Linked DNA regions of Saccharomyces cerevisiae S288C. The gene in region 1 interacts genetically with each later gene. Each region holds a gene or a part of one and is shown in the gene's direction. Other genes may lie near its edges.

The links.
Region 2: mutations in RPL43B (region 1) and COX19 together harm fitness more than expected from each alone (negative genetic interaction), as found in Saccharomyces cerevisiae (one large-scale study listed by BioGRID).
Region 3: mutations in RPL43B (region 1) and TAX4 together harm fitness more than expected from each alone (negative genetic interaction), as found in Saccharomyces cerevisiae (one large-scale study listed by BioGRID).
Region 4: mutations in RPL43B (region 1) and ADR1 together harm fitness less than expected from each alone (positive genetic interaction), as found in Saccharomyces cerevisiae (one large-scale study listed by BioGRID).

The regions. Positions count from the first base shown.
Region 1 is NC_001142.9:606,137-609,474, forward strand, and holds RPL43B (60S ribosomal protein eL43 RPL43B), read left to right. Parts: upstream 1-2,168; coding exon 2,169-2,170; intron 2,171-2,445; coding exon 2,446-2,722; downstream 2,723-3,338.
Region 2 is NC_001144.5:107,786-110,902, reverse strand, and holds COX19 (Cox19p), read left to right. Parts: upstream 1-1,930; coding exon 1,931-2,227; downstream 2,228-3,117. Other genes in the region: aspartate--tRNA ligase DPS1, read left to right, coding at 1-1,001; serine/threonine protein kinase KNS1, read left to right, coding at 3,004-3,117. UniProt on the Saccharomyces cerevisiae protein: Required for the assembly of mitochondrial cytochrome c oxidase.
Region 3 is NC_001142.9:276,985-281,400, forward strand, and holds TAX4 (Tax4p), read left to right. Parts: upstream 1-1,856; coding exon 1,857-3,671; downstream 3,672-4,416. Other genes in the region: ALY2 (Aly2p), read right to left, coding at 1-1,018; IML2 (Iml2p), read left to right, coding at 4,201-4,416. UniProt on the Saccharomyces cerevisiae protein: With IRS4, acts as a positive regulator of INP51 activity and phosphatidylinositol 4,5-bisphosphate turnover. Negatively regulates signaling through the cell integrity pathway, including the MAP kinase SLT2.
Region 4 is NC_001136.10:893,096-899,506, forward strand, and holds ADR1 (DNA-binding transcription factor ADR1), read left to right. Parts: upstream 1-1,939; coding exon 1,940-5,911; downstream 5,912-6,411. Other genes in the region: AHA1 (Aha1p), read left to right, coding at 1-832; YDR215C (uncharacterized protein), read right to left, coding at 994-1,407. UniProt on the Saccharomyces cerevisiae protein: Required for transcriptional activation of glucose-repressible alcohol dehydrogenase (ADH2).

The DNA.
Region 1 (3,338 bases):
TTGGCTATTATGAGTACACACAAAACGTTGTAAACGCAATCACCCATGGATAAGCGCTCCCTTTAAAATGCACTACGAAATCATTGATCTACTAACTTTAAACCGGACTTAAACCATCAAAGGGTGCTCTAGATCTCATCGATGTATTCTGATGCAGCCAAAATTGCGCAATCAATCACGTTTCCCGATATAGAAAACTAATTGGCTGTGTTACGTGGCTGGGGGTTCTGTAATTCCTTTCTTCCCCGGTGAATCATCAAGATTGGGCTAAGCGCCTTTGATCCTTTCCCTCGAAGACGGAAATGGGGCCGCAGGATAAAAAATGGTGTGTCTGTAATTCCGATTTTTTGCTTATGTAATCATGTAACTTTCTTCTAGTCCCTTTGCAGACATGCATGACACTTCCTTACCCGAATAGTGAGTTAGATCTGTGTTAGGATGCAGGATGGGCAGTTCAAAGGCTTTTCTTATCGTATCTTTACCTTTTCCTGTAACTAAGAAGGTTTTTGAGTGCATGTAAAGGCACATAAATGAAACTTTAATTCCCTGCGTATTTAAGACCCAAGAAGCCACCATGACGCTTCCTTGATGTTGTATCTACCCCCAATCCTGGCGCCCCCTCCTGCGGGCACGCATGCGCCTTTGATCCTTCCCCTCGAAGACGAAAAGTAAACAAAGATACGCACTTTTTTTCTCCAACGCAGTATTGAAGGTACCATCACATGCTTACTCACTTTGCGGCTGCTATAACACCGTGGCAGTGTAACGTTTTACCGTTTGTCCTTTGCTACCGCATTTTAAAGTGGTACAAGATGTTGAGAGAAAAGATTTCCTGCAGCCATGATTAGGAGAGGTAATAGCGGATGACATCAACGAATAAGCTTTATCCAGCGGCTTGTATAGTTCTGTGTACACAATTACTGCCGGGCTCTCTGAGCATTTGCGTTTCTCGGGCTAGCTTCATTACTTAGTAACTTCAAATTAATGAAATATTTAATTATCATGATTCCAAACAAAACTACTTTAATTTCAATCACATTTTTGTTATCTGCCTGAAACGATAGCTGTACGGGTACGTTCTTGATAAATAAAACTCAGTGTTTAAAACTCTCTTTTTACATCTGTTCGCCGATGATTGCTTGCTCGGAGGTACTAGTCATCGGAATTGAGGAAATTCCTTTTCTCCTTTGTTTTCTCTTTATCCCCGCGTAAATACGCGGAATGCCAATAATCAAGTACACATTCTTTCTCCAAGTTGGCCAAAAAATAGTTCAAATTCTTTAAACTAAGCGCTATTAATTATTATTAATTATATAAGTTTGAAAATATCAATGCAGGACCCTATTTCTTCACGAGGGTGTATCCAGAAACGGTTTCTTATATAGTGTTGGCGCTCACTTTTTTCCTACCCACGTCTATATATGCAACGCCTACTTGTTTTAATCAACATCACAATTTTATGCTTTTGAGGTACAGCAGTTAGCCGTACGTTTTCGGCAGTCGCTAAAAATGTAAGCGCGGCATTTACTGCCATTTAGTGGACTTCTTGAGGTTCTTTTGACATCCGCATTCTTGCAGCAAATACACCCCCACCCTTCTTTTATTGAGAATATCTACTGAACCTCCGTGAGGGAATACATTAATCAAATTACTCCAACACCATACGGGCCGTGGCGGAAAGAACAGCATGATATAGATAATATATGATATGAATTGATTTTTTTTTCTTTTTTTCTTGCGGCTGGTATGGTATTGTAAGGATGATAGTGCATTCTATGAGTGATTTTTGTGACGGTGACGTACGATCTCTATACCTTTTTAGCCGCCCATCTTCTGCCTTTCATTTTTATGCCAACCCTCCATCCATACATCCTTTTTAACCCATACATATCATTTAGATTATTGTTTTTTAATTTTTTTTTTATCAGATGTTGTTCATCGCGAAATTTATAATCTTTCGATTGAATCGCACTTGTCGTGCATAATGATAAATACCTTCCGGAGAGAAAACTCAGACCCACTGGGAAGTTCCTACCTGCCGAGTAAGACCAGCTTGAAAAATTTGAAATTTCAACTGAGAATCAGAATATATTACTGCCCTTCGTGTTGTAGGGTTATTCATTAACTATATACGATATTATAAACAGCATAGATAATCAAACAAAAAAATGTATGCATATAATAGAGGAATTGGATGACTAAATGTTCTTATATTGGAGTTAGTGGAGATGCGTGGTAGATTTGAATTAAATAGAAAGTGCTGGGGTTGATAAACCACGAAATATCGCAGTTGAGGAGAATGATAAGCCAGGATAGATGGTAGCGCATTTTTGGGGCAATCTCACTGTAGGTCCACCACAACTCAATATGACTACATCGAATCAGTTATAAGGCAAGTTTTTAGTTTACTAACAAATATTTCCATCTTATTTTTTTTTTTTGCAGGGCTAAGAGAACAAAGAAGGTCGGTATCACAGGTAAATACGGTGTCCGTTATGGTTCATCATTGAGAAGACAAGTTAAGAAGCTTGAAATTCAACAACATGCCAGATATGACTGTTCCTTCTGTGGTAAGAAGACTGTTAAGAGAGGTGCAGCTGGTATTTGGACTTGTTCCTGTTGTAAGAAGACCGTTGCCGGTGGTGCTTATACTGTTTCTACTGCAGCTGCCGCTACTGTTAGATCTACCATCAGAAGATTAAGAGAAATGGTTGAAGCTTAAACTTCTTTCATTCATTTTCTCTTGGCTTTCACTAGGTATATCTATTCCATAACGACTATGTTTTGTATTTGTTAATTTACATAAAACCATATCAGTACATCAACGAACTGTAAAAAAGAAACTTTAGCATAATTATTGCGGATATTTAAACTCACTTGCAGGTAAGAGCAAAAGGCGATTGATTTCCAGTCCGCCTCTTGTCACGTGATTTAGTAAGAAATTTTGACAGCACCCTCGGTTTAATGGAAAAGAGGGGCGTTTTTCGATGAACCCGAGGGGAGACTAGAGAATCATCTCGGTTGAATGGAGCATTATTTTTTTAGTAGCGCCCGCCCGGAGAAATGGACGTTGGCGAATGAGCCATGAATTATTAACCGCCCATGTCTACCAGATACCACATCGTATGACAGTACCAGCCTAGTCCCGGTAAACCGCAAACGGACCTTAATTGTGACGAAGGGCCCAAATTTGATGGGTCGGTGTTAATGATTAGTCCTCATTGTCATAATAAAGTGTGATGATGGAGGCAATGATGATATACGGTAGTACTACTGCTCGAGGTGCTATCTTTTAACCAATCCTTTGAGATTCTTGTCGCCACGGAGTTACTACCTTT
Region 2 (3,117 bases), on another chromosome or scaffold:
TGGTCAACTTGGACACCAGATTAGACTACCGTGTCATTGACTTGAGAACCGTCACCAACCAAGCTATTTTCAGGATTCAAGCTGGTGTTTGTGAGTTGTTCAGAGAATATTTGGCCACAAAGAAATTTACCGAAGTACACACACCAAAACTGTTGGGTGCACCAAGTGAAGGTGGTTCCAGTGTGTTTGAGGTGACATACTTCAAAGGGAAGGCCTACCTAGCTCAATCTCCACAATTTAACAAGCAACAATTGATTGTGGCCGACTTTGAAAGAGTTTACGAAATCGGGCCTGTGTTCAGGGCTGAAAACTCCAACACCCACCGTCACATGACCGAGTTTACTGGTTTGGACATGGAAATGGCTTTCGAAGAACATTACCACGAAGTTTTGGACACGTTGAGTGAGTTGTTTGTGTTTATTTTCAGTGAATTGCCCAAGAGATTTGCTCATGAAATTGAGTTGGTACGTAAGCAATACCCTGTTGAAGAATTCAAGTTACCTAAAGATGGTAAGATGGTTCGTCTAACATACAAAGAAGGTATTGAAATGCTAAGAGCTGCCGGTAAGGAAATTGGTGATTTTGAAGACTTGAGTACCGAAAATGAAAAGTTCTTGGGTAAGTTGGTTCGCGACAAATACGACACCGACTTTTACATCCTAGACAAGTTCCCCTTGGAGATCCGTCCCTTCTACACAATGCCCGACCCAGCCAACCCTAAGTATTCTAACTCGTATGATTTCTTCATGAGGGGTGAAGAAATCTTGTCCGGTGCACAACGTATCCACGACCATGCTCTATTACAAGAAAGGATGAAAGCCCATGGTTTGTCTCCTGAGGACCCAGGTCTAAAGGACTACTGTGACGGCTTCAGCTATGGGTGTCCTCCACACGCCGGTGGTGGTATCGGTTTGGAAAGAGTTGTTATGTTCTATTTGGATTTGAAAAATATCAGAAGAGCTTCATTGTTCCCAAGAGATCCAAAGAGATTAAGACCATGAAGGAGTCTCCTCCAACGTTTTTATGTAGCGAGTGAAGGTAAAAAAATTTTCAACATTTCTAATTTTTTCCTGTCACCCACTTTTATTTTAACTGAATTATTATATTTAGCTTTACACATATAAGTCTCAACGTCTGACATATGTCACACTTTCTTTACCGCCAGACCACTTCTAATATTCCGAAAGCAAGGGCTATGAGCAGTCCGACAATTCGGAAACCATAGCTCGCCATAATTTACACGCTCTATGCACATATTAAAATACATTTAAACAGTACTTACAGCGCATCTGGGATGGTTCGGTTATGTACCAGGACAATATTAAGTTGACGCGTCAGTTGAGTAGTAATCGTCCTAGTATTTTCGCCTACCATGCCGCTTTTTGCGTTTTTGACCGCCTCTGGTCCCTTATACAATCCACAGGCAAAAAAAAATTACATAACAAGATTACTCTTCAAGAAACCTGGAAAATATTTTTTTGGGCAGTTTTTTAAGACGATAATAAGTTCTATGCCTCATTTACGCACCAGCGGTTCTATTACCAAGCTGACTCTTATCGGCGATGAGTATGATCTAAGGCTCGGGCCGCCCATTTTGCTGCTCCCGGTCAAGTAGCACGCTCCCTCTTTTCTTATCGCAGGCTTTGCCCACTACCCGATCTCTAAAGCGCCCATTTAACCTTTTTTAAAACAACAGCTTAAAAGCTTTTTGGATAAAAAGCTTTTATTACTACATCTCTGCATCTTCTCTCCGGGGTCTAAGAAAAGGGCTCAAATTCGCGGAGTTGAGAAACGAGAAAATCCAAATAAAGCGAACAAGAGGGAAAAAAATTTTTTCTTCCGTTCTTTCCTTCTTCTATACTTCAAGAAAACAAGCAAACGCACCCACTACACACAAAGTATCTTTTACGAAACATAACACAAGAATCCAATGTCAGGGAACCCAGGAAGCTCGCTGAGCGCATTGAGACCTACTCCACCCGAGAGAGGTTCGTTCCCGCTAGACCACGACGGCGAATGCACCAAGTACATGCAAGAGTATCTCAAATGTATGCAGCTTGTGCAGAACGAAAATGCAATGAATTGTAGACTACTGGCAAAGGACTACCTGCGGTGCAGGATGGACCACCAATTGATGGACTACGATGAATGGTCACATTTAGGTCTTCCTGAGGATGCTCCAGGCAACAACGGTAAAACCATAAAAGACGCCACCGATAATAAATAGCCGCCCACATCGGAATATCGAATAAAAGCTAGACGCTGTTGGTAATATCATACTTTCTACAACAACTGGTAAAGAACTTCTTTTTTTGAAATAGCCGCCGATATGGCGCGAAGTGACCCTGCTCGAGGCTGTGCGGGCCCAGGCCCGTCCGTTTCTTTTTTTTCTAGGGGGCGGCAAACGGGCCAAAGGGGTCAGCGTGATTGGGCGGTTTTCCACAAAGCTTTAGTCTCTCTCCTCACGCCTTGGCTTAGTGAGTGGCCGGAGTTAAAGTTGCGAGGAAACACACAGCGAAGGGAAAAAGCTTTGGCGTGCTTAACGATATGGCTTATGGCCCGGTTGCAATGCTGGTTTAGTTTCCGATTACGATTTTCGATTTGAATCCTGGCTCCACATCTCCCACCCTCTTTTTTTATCTCTAGCATCGTGCGTTGGATTTTATATTATGAAGTTCCTATATTAGAATAAAGTTTAGTATTTACTTCCCAGATCTACCGGATTTACAAAGTATTGTTACCTCACCACCAAGTGAAAGGAAACAGTGCAGTAACTCCTCGTGCTTACGCTAACTAAATAGATATTATATTCACGAAATACTGCGCCAGATAGCAAGCAAACCCAAAAAAAAAAAAGAAAAAGAAAAAGGAAACAAAGTGGGAGACAGAAAAAGAGTGAAAGAAACATAGTATTTACCAAGTCGAAGATTTAGCACAACAAAGACTAATCTACACGCATACTGCTCTTCTTCATTATTGCTTTATCTTCCGCGTACCTTAGTTATGTCACAGAATATTCAAATTGGCACTAGAAAACGTTCAAGAGCAAATATGAATAATTCCACTACTACGGGCCCTGCTAACAATACAAGCTCTAACAAGACCTTTTTGGATAAT
Region 3 (4,416 bases), 330 kb from region 1:
CGATATTAACCACTTGCCGGGCGCTAATGTTTGATTTAAAGGCACCAGGTCTCTCTATACTGGCAAATAAGAAGTATTCCACAAATCCGAAATCAGCTTTAATAGATTCTGGGTATGCTTGAGGAATTAGTTCTTCGAAAGCATAAATATAGTCGCCTGGTTGAAAGACAAAAAATTCTCCTCCAGACCCGCTGGTGAAGTTGTTGCTTGTCATTGCCAGATGATTGCTACTGGTGGGGATATGATGACCATGATGCGATGCTGCATCATTATGGGTAAAGGTGTTATTCAACAAGTCGGAAAAGATGGAAGTGGTCGTAGGTTTATAGTTGTGGTGAGACACGGAAGGAGACGTGGCTCTCTTCAATAAATTTATCGGGGATAGGTTTCTTGATGGTCCATTGGAAGAAGTGACTGACGAAGATCTAGATCTTTGTCTACTTTCTCTGTCTTTTACGTTGACAGAGGAATTTCCAGGTGCACCTAGAGGTGACAAGTTCAACGAGGACAAACCTGATATAGAATTTTTTCTGCTTGTTATAGTTTCATTATCAGACAGTGTTCTATAAAGAGAGGCACCACTTTCCTTCGTCAAAAAATTATTAGCTGCATTGTTGCTCTCATTAGGTGCGGAAGCATCCATCTTTTTCTTGCTCTTCTGTTCAGTTGGCGGATATAGAGCCCATGTATGGTCTACAATATCTTTGATTTCCACGAATTCTTGTCTTTTAGGAGGGATACCTTCAGGCCATTCAGTTCTAGAATATCCTTTGAACGAAAGACTTATGCTTTTCAGCTTTGTGGGTTTCAGTATTCTTACCACTAGACAGCCCCGAAGAACAACCGAGGGATATTCCGTCTTCTGAGGGTCAAAGCCTTGGAGGAAAACAACTGGTTCAGCTAAATGAATAAAAAGCTGTAATGATGAACTTTGTGCCAAGGGTGTAGCATCGAGGGGGATATCAATATCCTTTTCCATGGGAAACAATGGAGATGAGATAGATTGGTCCATGGGCATCTTGAAAAATGACTGATCTACAATGAGAAAGGCTGGAAAAAAAAAAAAGATGTTTCAACGTTAAAAAAATAAAGGACTAACGGTAATGAATAGCGAAGTCTACAGACTAATTTGCCCTTTTTAGTCTCTCTCAATACTCACAGACTGCTTGTAGCGTAATTAGTACCTATTCTTAAAAGACGAAAAGGAGAACTAGCCAAGTCTTTTTTTTTTCCCAAATTGGACCATATCGGATTAAATTTCTTTTTTCCGAAACTGCAAATCCTCCAGAGAATGTTTTAATAAAGGAAAACCAATGAAAGACATTTAGCAGAATAACAAAGCAAAAAGAAATGACAGTGAAGAGTGATAGGTGAAGGCGTTGAGAAATGAGAGTTGTTGCCATGGAGGAATGGGTACTGAACCCTCTCACAGAGGCGTCACTAATTTAAAAAAGGAAAAAGGTGTTATATGTATTGGGGAAAGGAGCGATGAATTTTTGGGTGATGAATGAAACAGTGGGATGAGATGAACTACAGCAATATGGTTTGGTCTTAACGGCTGTCATGACAAACTATTGATCAGGGCCAGTATTTGTATCATTATTGTTATAATTGAGAATGAAGAAAGGTTAGCCGCTGAGAGAACCTTCTTCAAATTATGTTTTTTTTGCTTTTTTTCTTTTTGGGACGGCGCGCGATAGATGGCGCAAGGGAGTTGCTCTCCGTTCGACATCAATAAATTGGTTATAAAGTGACGTATTTGGTTCCTTTTTAGTAATTGATGAAGAGTGCGGGATGGCCTATACAAGGAAGAGTCGATTTAGTGCCGGAGAATACACGCCCTGACGTTTGTATAAATGCATTTCCCCAAAAAAAAGCATTCCGGAAATCTCTCCGTGGTGGAATTGCCGAAGGAAGCTCTCCAAGATTCTTTAACTGCTGCTCAGATTACTTTCAAGAGATATGCCCACCCCAATGGCAATGCCGGTAGCGCAGAGAGGCCGAGACATCTAAAGGTGGAATCTGCGCCTGTCGTGAAATCTGAGCCTTCTTTGCCGAGGATGAGACAACCGGAACCGAGAAGTATAAATCATCAATACTCTAGGGAAACGCTTCCAGGCCATTCTGAAGCCTTTTCCGTACCGACGACTCCTCTGCAGACAATCCATTATGATGTAAGGAATAAAGCGTCAAATTCGCCAAGTAGTATAGCAGCTGCAGAGACAGCTGCATACCTAGCCCACACAAATTCATTTAGTAACAGATCATCCGGTGTCGGCAGCCGGGATCCAGTTATGGATACTGAAACAAAACCGCCACGTGCTCCTTCAGCCTTGAAAAATGAGCTGCAATTGAACAGAATGAGGATACCTCCGCCGTCATATGATAATAATGTTCGTTCACGATCTATTTCGCCACAAGTATCCTACTCTACCTCGCTGTCATCATCGTGTTCCATAAGTTCCGATGGAGAAGAAACTTCTTATAGAGAAAAAAGCACCGATGAGGCATTTCCTCCTGAACCTTCCATGTCTTCTTATAGTCTTGCGTCCAAAGCCTCAGCAAAGGCTTCTCTAACGGACCCCTCACAGCGGCAGCAAGAGTCAGACTATACGGCAATGAATAAACTCAATGGAGGAAATATAATATATAAAGGCACTTTACCCGACCTAATACCGCGAAGCCAAAGGAAGACAAGTAAACCCAGGTTCAAGCACAGGCTTTTACGATCACCTGAGCAGCAGCAAGAAAACTTATCACGTGTGTATTCGGACCAAACGCAGAATGGTAGGGCAATCATAAACACGCAGCAAAATGTAAAGTTAAAGACAACTATGAGGCGCGGGAAGTACGCAATTACAGACAATGATGAAACTTTTCCCTACGACAGAAAGTCTGTATCATCAGACTCAGACACAGATGAAGATTCTAATGTGATGGAAATCAAGGACAAGAAGAAGAAAAGTCGTCGCTCTAAGATAAAGAAGGGGTTGAAAACAACAGCAGCTGTAGTTGGGAGTAGTACCTCTGTCCTTCCGTTCCCTCATCACCATCATCATCACCATCAGCTCCATAACCCGAATTCTCATCACTTACACACGCACCATCATACAAGTTCTCACAAATTCAATGAAGATAAACCGTGGAAATCTCATAGAGATCTCGGGTTTATTACCGAACAAGAAAGAAAAAGATACGAGTCTATGTGGGTATCAAACAGATACTCGTATTTGCGCTTGCTGCCGTGGTGGCCCTCTCTCGCGAATGAAGACGACGAGTCTCACTTACAGCCCTTAAATTTACCGCAAGACGGCCTGATGCTTAACTTAGTCGTAAAAGATATATGGTATCGATCAAACCTACCCAGGGATCTTCTAGTGCAAATATACAATATGGTCGACACAAGAAAAGACGGTACCTTAGACAGAAAATCGTTTATAGTGGGCATGTGGCTGGTTGATCAATGTCTCTATGGCCGAAAGCTAACGAATGAGCTGGACCAGAGAGTTTGGAATAGCGTTGACGGCTATGTTCTCGGTACAATTAACGTGAAGCCTGCCACTTCCGATCACTATCACAACGCTAATAACCCTCTAGATAAGCCATCAAAGCTTTCAGTCCGACAGGAATTGAAAAACATCAAACGCGATCTCAGAAATGTCAGAATATGATGCCTGGCATTATTTGCAGAAGTTCTCTTCCTGTGTTAATAATGAATGACGATGAGTTAACAATGACCCTTATGTATACAACGAAAGGACGAATGAAAGAAATGAAAATATTATCTTTTTTTTTTTTTTTCTCAATTTTCCTTCACTTTTAGAAGTTTTTCCGTTCCGCGGATTTTGTTCGTCGGACCTTTTGCTTTATTTGTCTCCAGATCTCTCGAGCATAATGGTCGTTTTTCATTTCATGCTTATAGTCTTTGTCTTTCCAGCGGTACCCCCACCCCCTATCTTGGGCTATTTTCTAATTTCGTCCCTCGGATTATTTAATTCATATTCTCCCCACCTTTGTATTACTAAATTTATTTTCCAATGCTCTTTTCACTCATTCTTCCTTTTGCATATTTCTATCAGTATATATAGCGAATTGTATATATAAGCGTCTTGTTACCGGTATAGGAATTACCTGATAGAAAGAAATAGAACATAATAGGAGGAAGGGCAAACAGTGCGCCAAAACGAAAGATAGTAGAAGATGTTTAGAGTATTTGGTTCATTTGGATCAAAGGGTAATCAATCTTCTGGTGAAGAGCAATCAACAAAGACAAAACAGGTTCTGAAGCAGGCTAATGACTTTGAGATCGCCTTAAAGGCAATGGATTTTGTCCTTGATGATAGAACGGATGAAGGGTTGAATTTGCTGAAAAAAGCTGAAATGGAAACTGGTTCAGATCAAACTATCTTGACTTTG
Region 4 (6,411 bases), on another chromosome or scaffold:
AATAGAGGGACACGTGGACTCTAAGGACGGATCGGCATTGCCATTCGAGGGTAGCATTAACGTTCCTGAAGTTGCCTTCGATAGCGAGGCCTCAAGCTATCAATTTGACATATCTATATTTAAGGAGACTAGCGAATTGAGTGAAGCCAAGCCACTAATTAGATCCGAGTTATTGCCCAAGTTGAGACAAATTTTCCAACAATTTGGCAAGGATTTGCTGGCCACCCATGGTAATGACATTCAGGTGCCCGAATCTCAGGTGAAATCTAACTACACAAGAGGTAACCAAAAAAGTAGCTTTACCGAAATCAAGGACTCCGCTTCAAAGCCAAAAAAGAATGCACTTCCCTCTTCTACTTCAACTTCAGCACCAGTCTCCAGCACCAACAAAGTCCCCCAAAACGGAAGCGGCAATAGTACATCTATTTATTTAGAACCAACTTTTAATGTGCCTTCCTCCGAGCTCTACGAAACGTTCCTTGATAAGCAACGCATATTGGCCTGGACCAGATCAGCACAATTTTTCAACAGCGGACCGAAGCTGGAGACCAAAGAAAAATTCGAGCTCTTTGGCGGCAACGTGATCAGCGAGTTGGTTTCATGCGAAAAGGACAAGAAACTTGTTTTCCACTGGAAACTCAAGGATTGGTCTGCCCCTTTCAACTCTACTATCGAAATGACTTTCCATGAGTCGCAAGAATTCCATGAAACCAAATTACAGGTGAAGTGGACTGGCATACCCGTTGGCGAGGAAGATCGCGTGCGCGCTAATTTTGAAGAATACTACGTGCGTTCTATTAAATTGACATTCGGCTTTGGTGCCGTATTATAAGATATATTGTTCTCATGTTTCAATAAAAGTATGCGTAAATATTTACATACCACTATTGGCATAGATAGAATGCAATACATCATGTAGTTCTGTACGGCATCCGCGCGGCTCCGATCGCCCGTCCTACTTTTGCGGCCCGGCGCCGACGGCCTCCCCGGAATTTACCAACGAAGAGGAAAATAAACTGGAGTTATAACGCCATTGGCGGGAAACTCCGAAACCATAGCGCCGTGGTCTTTCCCCGGTTTTTTGGCGCCGGGTGTGCTTGCGTTGTGTGAACGGCGCCCTGGCAGCTGAGGGGGAAGGGAAACGCCGGAGGCGACGGCAAGGATGACCATGGCGTCAAGGAACATGCGGAACATGCTAGAATGATTGCCGAAAGGGCGGGCCCTAGTCAATGGCATCATGCGGGAACGTGCAGTAAAGCTCAATGTAACTTGATGCCTATCGGCGTTGTTCGAGCTAAGGACGATGTGATAGACTGAGGAAGGGTGAACGTCGATAGTTAGCCGTTGTGAACTAAATAAAAGTGATATTTTTTCGTTGTTCTTTTCTTGGTTTGGCGGTGTTTTCATTTGTTTTCATGTTTTACTTCGCCACAGGTTTTCAAAGAACAACGCCTTAAAAATAGGAAAACGTTTTCGCTACAGGTGTTGTTATTATTGTTGTTGTGCTGTTGTTTATTGTGCTATACTTGTGGTATTTATTCTGGACTTCCGATCGGAAATTTTCTTCCCTTGAAGACCTTTTGAAGACAACAGTTATATATCATTGATCTGAATTTCTCAGGCTATTTTCAAAATTCCATACCTCCTTATTCCAACATTTGCTCGACTACTATAGAAAAGCCTTATTCTTTTATCTTTGAAAGAAAGAAAAGGTGTCATAGCAAAAGTTTATTGTTACTCTGTTTTGATATACTCCCTCTTATTCGTTGGAAGTATAAGATTGATTTGCATAAATTAACCAATCATTTTGCTACTTTCCCGGTTCTCCCTTTATTATAAACACTTCAGAAAAATATTCTGCTACTATTCCTTACTTTACTATAAGAATTTTGTTTTCCAAAAAAAAAAAATATAAAAAAAATAATCATACTCTATTACTATGGCTAACGTAGAAAAACCAAACGATTGTTCAGGCTTTCCCGTTGTTGACTTGAATTCGTGCTTTTCTAACGGCTTCAATAATGAGAAACAAGAAATAGAAATGGAAACGGATGATTCACCGATTTTATTAATGTCATCATCAGCTTCCAGAGAAAACTCAAACACTTTCTCTGTGATACAGAGGACGCCAGATGGAAAGATCATTACCACAAATAATAATATGAACTCCAAGATTAACAAGCAACTGGACAAGTTGCCCGAAAATTTAAGGCTTAATGGTAGAACCCCCAGTGGGAAACTAAGGTCATTTGTTTGCGAGGTTTGTACGAGAGCGTTCGCAAGACAAGAGCACTTGAAAAGACATTACAGATCGCATACAAATGAAAAACCTTATCCCTGTGGCCTCTGCAACAGATGCTTTACTAGGAGGGACTTACTGATCAGGCATGCTCAAAAAATCCATAGTGGTAATTTAGGGGAAACGATTTCCCATACCAAGAAAGTGTCGAGAACTATAACTAAAGCTCGGAAAAATTCTGCATCCTCAGTCAAGTTTCAAACTCCAACCTATGGTACTCCAGATAATGGTAATTTTTTGAATCGCACTACTGCCAATACAAGAAGAAAAGCAAGCCCTGAAGCTAATGTTAAACGTAAGTACTTGAAAAAACTGACGCGCAGGGCTTCATTTAGCGCACAATCAGCATCCAGCTATGCTTTGCCCGACCAATCTTCGCTAGAACAACATCCAAAGGATCGTGTTAAATTTTCTACGCCTGAATTAGTTCCACTTGACTTGAAGAATCCTGAACTTGACTCTTCGTTTGACCTGAATATGAATCTAGATTTAAACCTAAATCTAGATTCCAATTTCAATATAGCATTAAACCGTTCTGATTCTTCTGGATCAACAATGAATTTGGATTATAAATTGCCCGAATCAGCAAATAACTACACATATTCTTCCGGCTCACCAACCCGCGCATATGTCGGCGCTAACACGAATTCTAAGAACGCTTCATTTAATGACGCAGACTTATTGTCGTCGTCGTACTGGATAAAAGCCTATAATGATCATTTGTTTTCAGTATCTGAAAGTGATGAAACTTCTCCAATGAACTCTGAATTAAACGACACTAAATTAATCGTCCCAGATTTTAAATCGACTATACATCATTTGAAGGATTCAAGGTCCTCCTCTTGGACTGTTGCTATAGATAATAATAGCAATAACAATAAGGTATCAGACAACCAACCTGATTTCGTCGATTTTCAAGAACTGCTGGATAATGATACTTTAGGTAATGATTTGTTAGAGACCACTGCCGTTTTAAAAGAATTTGAACTTTTACATGATGATAGCGTAAGTGCTACCGCCACGTCAAATGAGATTGACCTTTCCCATTTGAACCTATCAAACTCTCCAATTTCTCCTCATAAGTTAATTTATAAGAATAAAGAGGGGACCAATGACGATATGTTGATTTCTTTCGGACTCGATCATCCTTCCAATCGCGAAGATGATCTGGATAAGCTATGTAATATGACCAGAGATGTTCAAGCCATATTCAGTCAATATTTGAAAGGAGAAGAGTCTAAACGATCCCTGGAAGACTTTTTATCAACGTCAAACAGGAAAGAAAAGCCAGATAGCGGCAACTATACTTTTTATGGGTTAGATTGTTTAACGTTATCGAAAATATCAAGAGCTCTGCCGGCCTCCACTGTGAACAACAATCAGCCATCGCATTCCATAGAATCAAAGCTATTTAATGAACCAATGAGAAATATGTGCATTAAAGTGCTTAGATACTATGAAAAGTTCAGTCATGATAGTAGTGAGAGTGTCATGGACTCTAATCCAAACTTGCTGTCCAAAGAATTGTTAATGCCAGCTGTGAGTGAATTGAACGAATATTTAGATCTTTTCAAGAATAATTTCCTTCCCCATTTCCCTATTATTCACCCAAGCTTGCTTGATTTGGATTTGGATAGCTTGCAACGATATACTAATGAGGATGGGTATGATGACGCTGAAAACGCGCAGTTGTTTGATCGATTAAGTCAAGGGACAGATAAAGAATATGATTACGAGCACTATCAAATCTTGTCCATTTCGAAAATCGTTTGTTTACCCTTATTTATGGCCACATTTGGTTCTTTGCATAAGTTCGGTTACAAATCTCAAACAATAGAATTGTATGAGATGAGTAGAAGAATTCTACATTCTTTTTTGGAGACTAAAAGAAGGTGTCGCAGTACAACAGTAAATGACAGTTATCAGAACATTTGGTTGATGCAATCCCTAATATTGAGCTTCATGTTCGCTCTAGTTGCTGATTATTTGGAGAAAATTGACTCCTCTTTGATGAAAAGGCAATTGTCCGCATTATGTTCAACGATCAGATCAAACTGTTTACCGACAATTTCTGCAAATTCTGAGAAGAGTATCAATAATAACAATGAACCTTTAACATTTGGTTCTCCTCTTCAATACATCATTTTTGAGTCAAAAATTAGATGCACCTTAATGGCTTATGATTTTTGTCAGTTCTTGAAATGTTTCTTCCATATTAAATTCGATTTGTCTATAAAGGAAAAAGATGTTGAAACCATTTATATTCCCGACAATGAGTCAAAATGGGCCAGTGAATCGATAATATGTAATGGGCATGTTGTGCAAAAGCAAAATTTTTATGATTTTAGAAACTTTTATTACAGTTTCACGTATGGACACTTACACTCAATACCAGAATTTTTAGGGTCATCTATGATTTATTATGAATACGATTTAAGAAAAGGAACCAAATCACATGTGTTTTTGGATCGAATCGATACGAAAAGGCTAGAGAGGAGTCTTGACACTTCTTCCTATGGCAATGATAATATGGCAGCAACCAATAAAAATATTGCGATCTTAATTGATGACACCATAATTTTGAAAAATAATTTAATGTCAATGAGATTCATCAAACAGATTGATCGCTCGTTTACTGAGAAGGTTAGAAAAGGACAAATAGCAAAGATATATGATTCCTTTTTGAACTCTGTGAGGTTGAATTTTTTGAAGAATTATTCAGTTGAAGTATTGTGTGAATTTTTAGTAGCGTTGAACTTTTCAATCCGTAATATTTCGTCTTTATACGTAGAAGAAGAAAGTGATTGCTCCCAAAGAATGAATTCTCCAGAGCTGCCAAGGATCCACCTGAATAATCAAGCGCTTTCTGTCTTCAATTTACAAGGCTATTACTATTGCTTCATCCTAATTATCAAATTTTTATTGGATTTTGAAGCAACTCCAAATTTTAAGTTACTGAGAATTTTTATTGAGTTGAGAAGCCTTGCGAATTCTATTTTACTTCCCACACTTTCAAGATTGTATCCGCAAGAGTTTTCTGGATTTCCTGATGTTGTATTTACGCAACAATTTATAAATAAAGATAATGGTATGCTTGTCCCTGGTTTATCCGCAAATGAACACCATAATGGTGCAAGTGCAGCTGTTAAGACTAAGTTAGCCAAAAAGATCAATGTTGAAGGGCTTGCAATGTTTATTAATGAAATCCTAGTTAACTCTTTTAACGATACCTCTTTTTTGAATATGGAGGATCCTATTCGAAATGAATTTTCCTTTGATAATGGGGACAGGGCAGTGACAGACTTGCCTCGTTCAGCACATTTCCTATCGGATACCGGCCTAGAAGGTATTAACTTCAGCGGCTTAAATGATTCGCATCAAACTGTTTCTACTTTGAATCTTTTACGTTACGGGGAAAATCATTCATCAAAACATAAAAATGGTGGAAAGGGGCAAGGATTTGCCGAAAAGTACCAATTATCTCTGAAATATGTTACTATTGCCAAGTTATTTTTCACCAATGTTAAAGAAAACTACATTCATTGTCACATGTTAGATAAGATGGCAAGTGATTTCCACACTTTGGAAAATCATCTAAAGGGAAACAGTTGACGATTATGTCTCGTTGCTGATATGTGTCGTCCCAGTACTCAACTCTTTCTGATGAGATTTTGAATATCTCATTTTATTTCTCATCAAACAGCCATGCATGCGACTGAAGTGGACTACTGCGGGAGAACACCGATCTTATCTTTGAAATTGTTGCACAAAAATATTTCACTACCTTGGCGTTTCTCATCTCACCCATTGGGGTGAATCTCGTTATTGCTCCTTATTTTGGTCCATTTTATATTAAATCCTGTATCATGTTTAACATTTTTCATCTTATACCTCATACAAAAAAGAAAAGCTATTTATGAAAGTTAGTTCATTACAAGATGCAAGCCTAAAATATATGCTTGATCTTAAAATTCATGTATAGAAGAAAAAGACCTTACCAACGTTGTTGGTTACCGTGTATAACTAATACCAATCTTGAACATTAACCACTCCTGGCGTGTGGGAGGATGTTCTTAGACTTAATTAAGAATCTCTAAATTTTTTTTTATTTA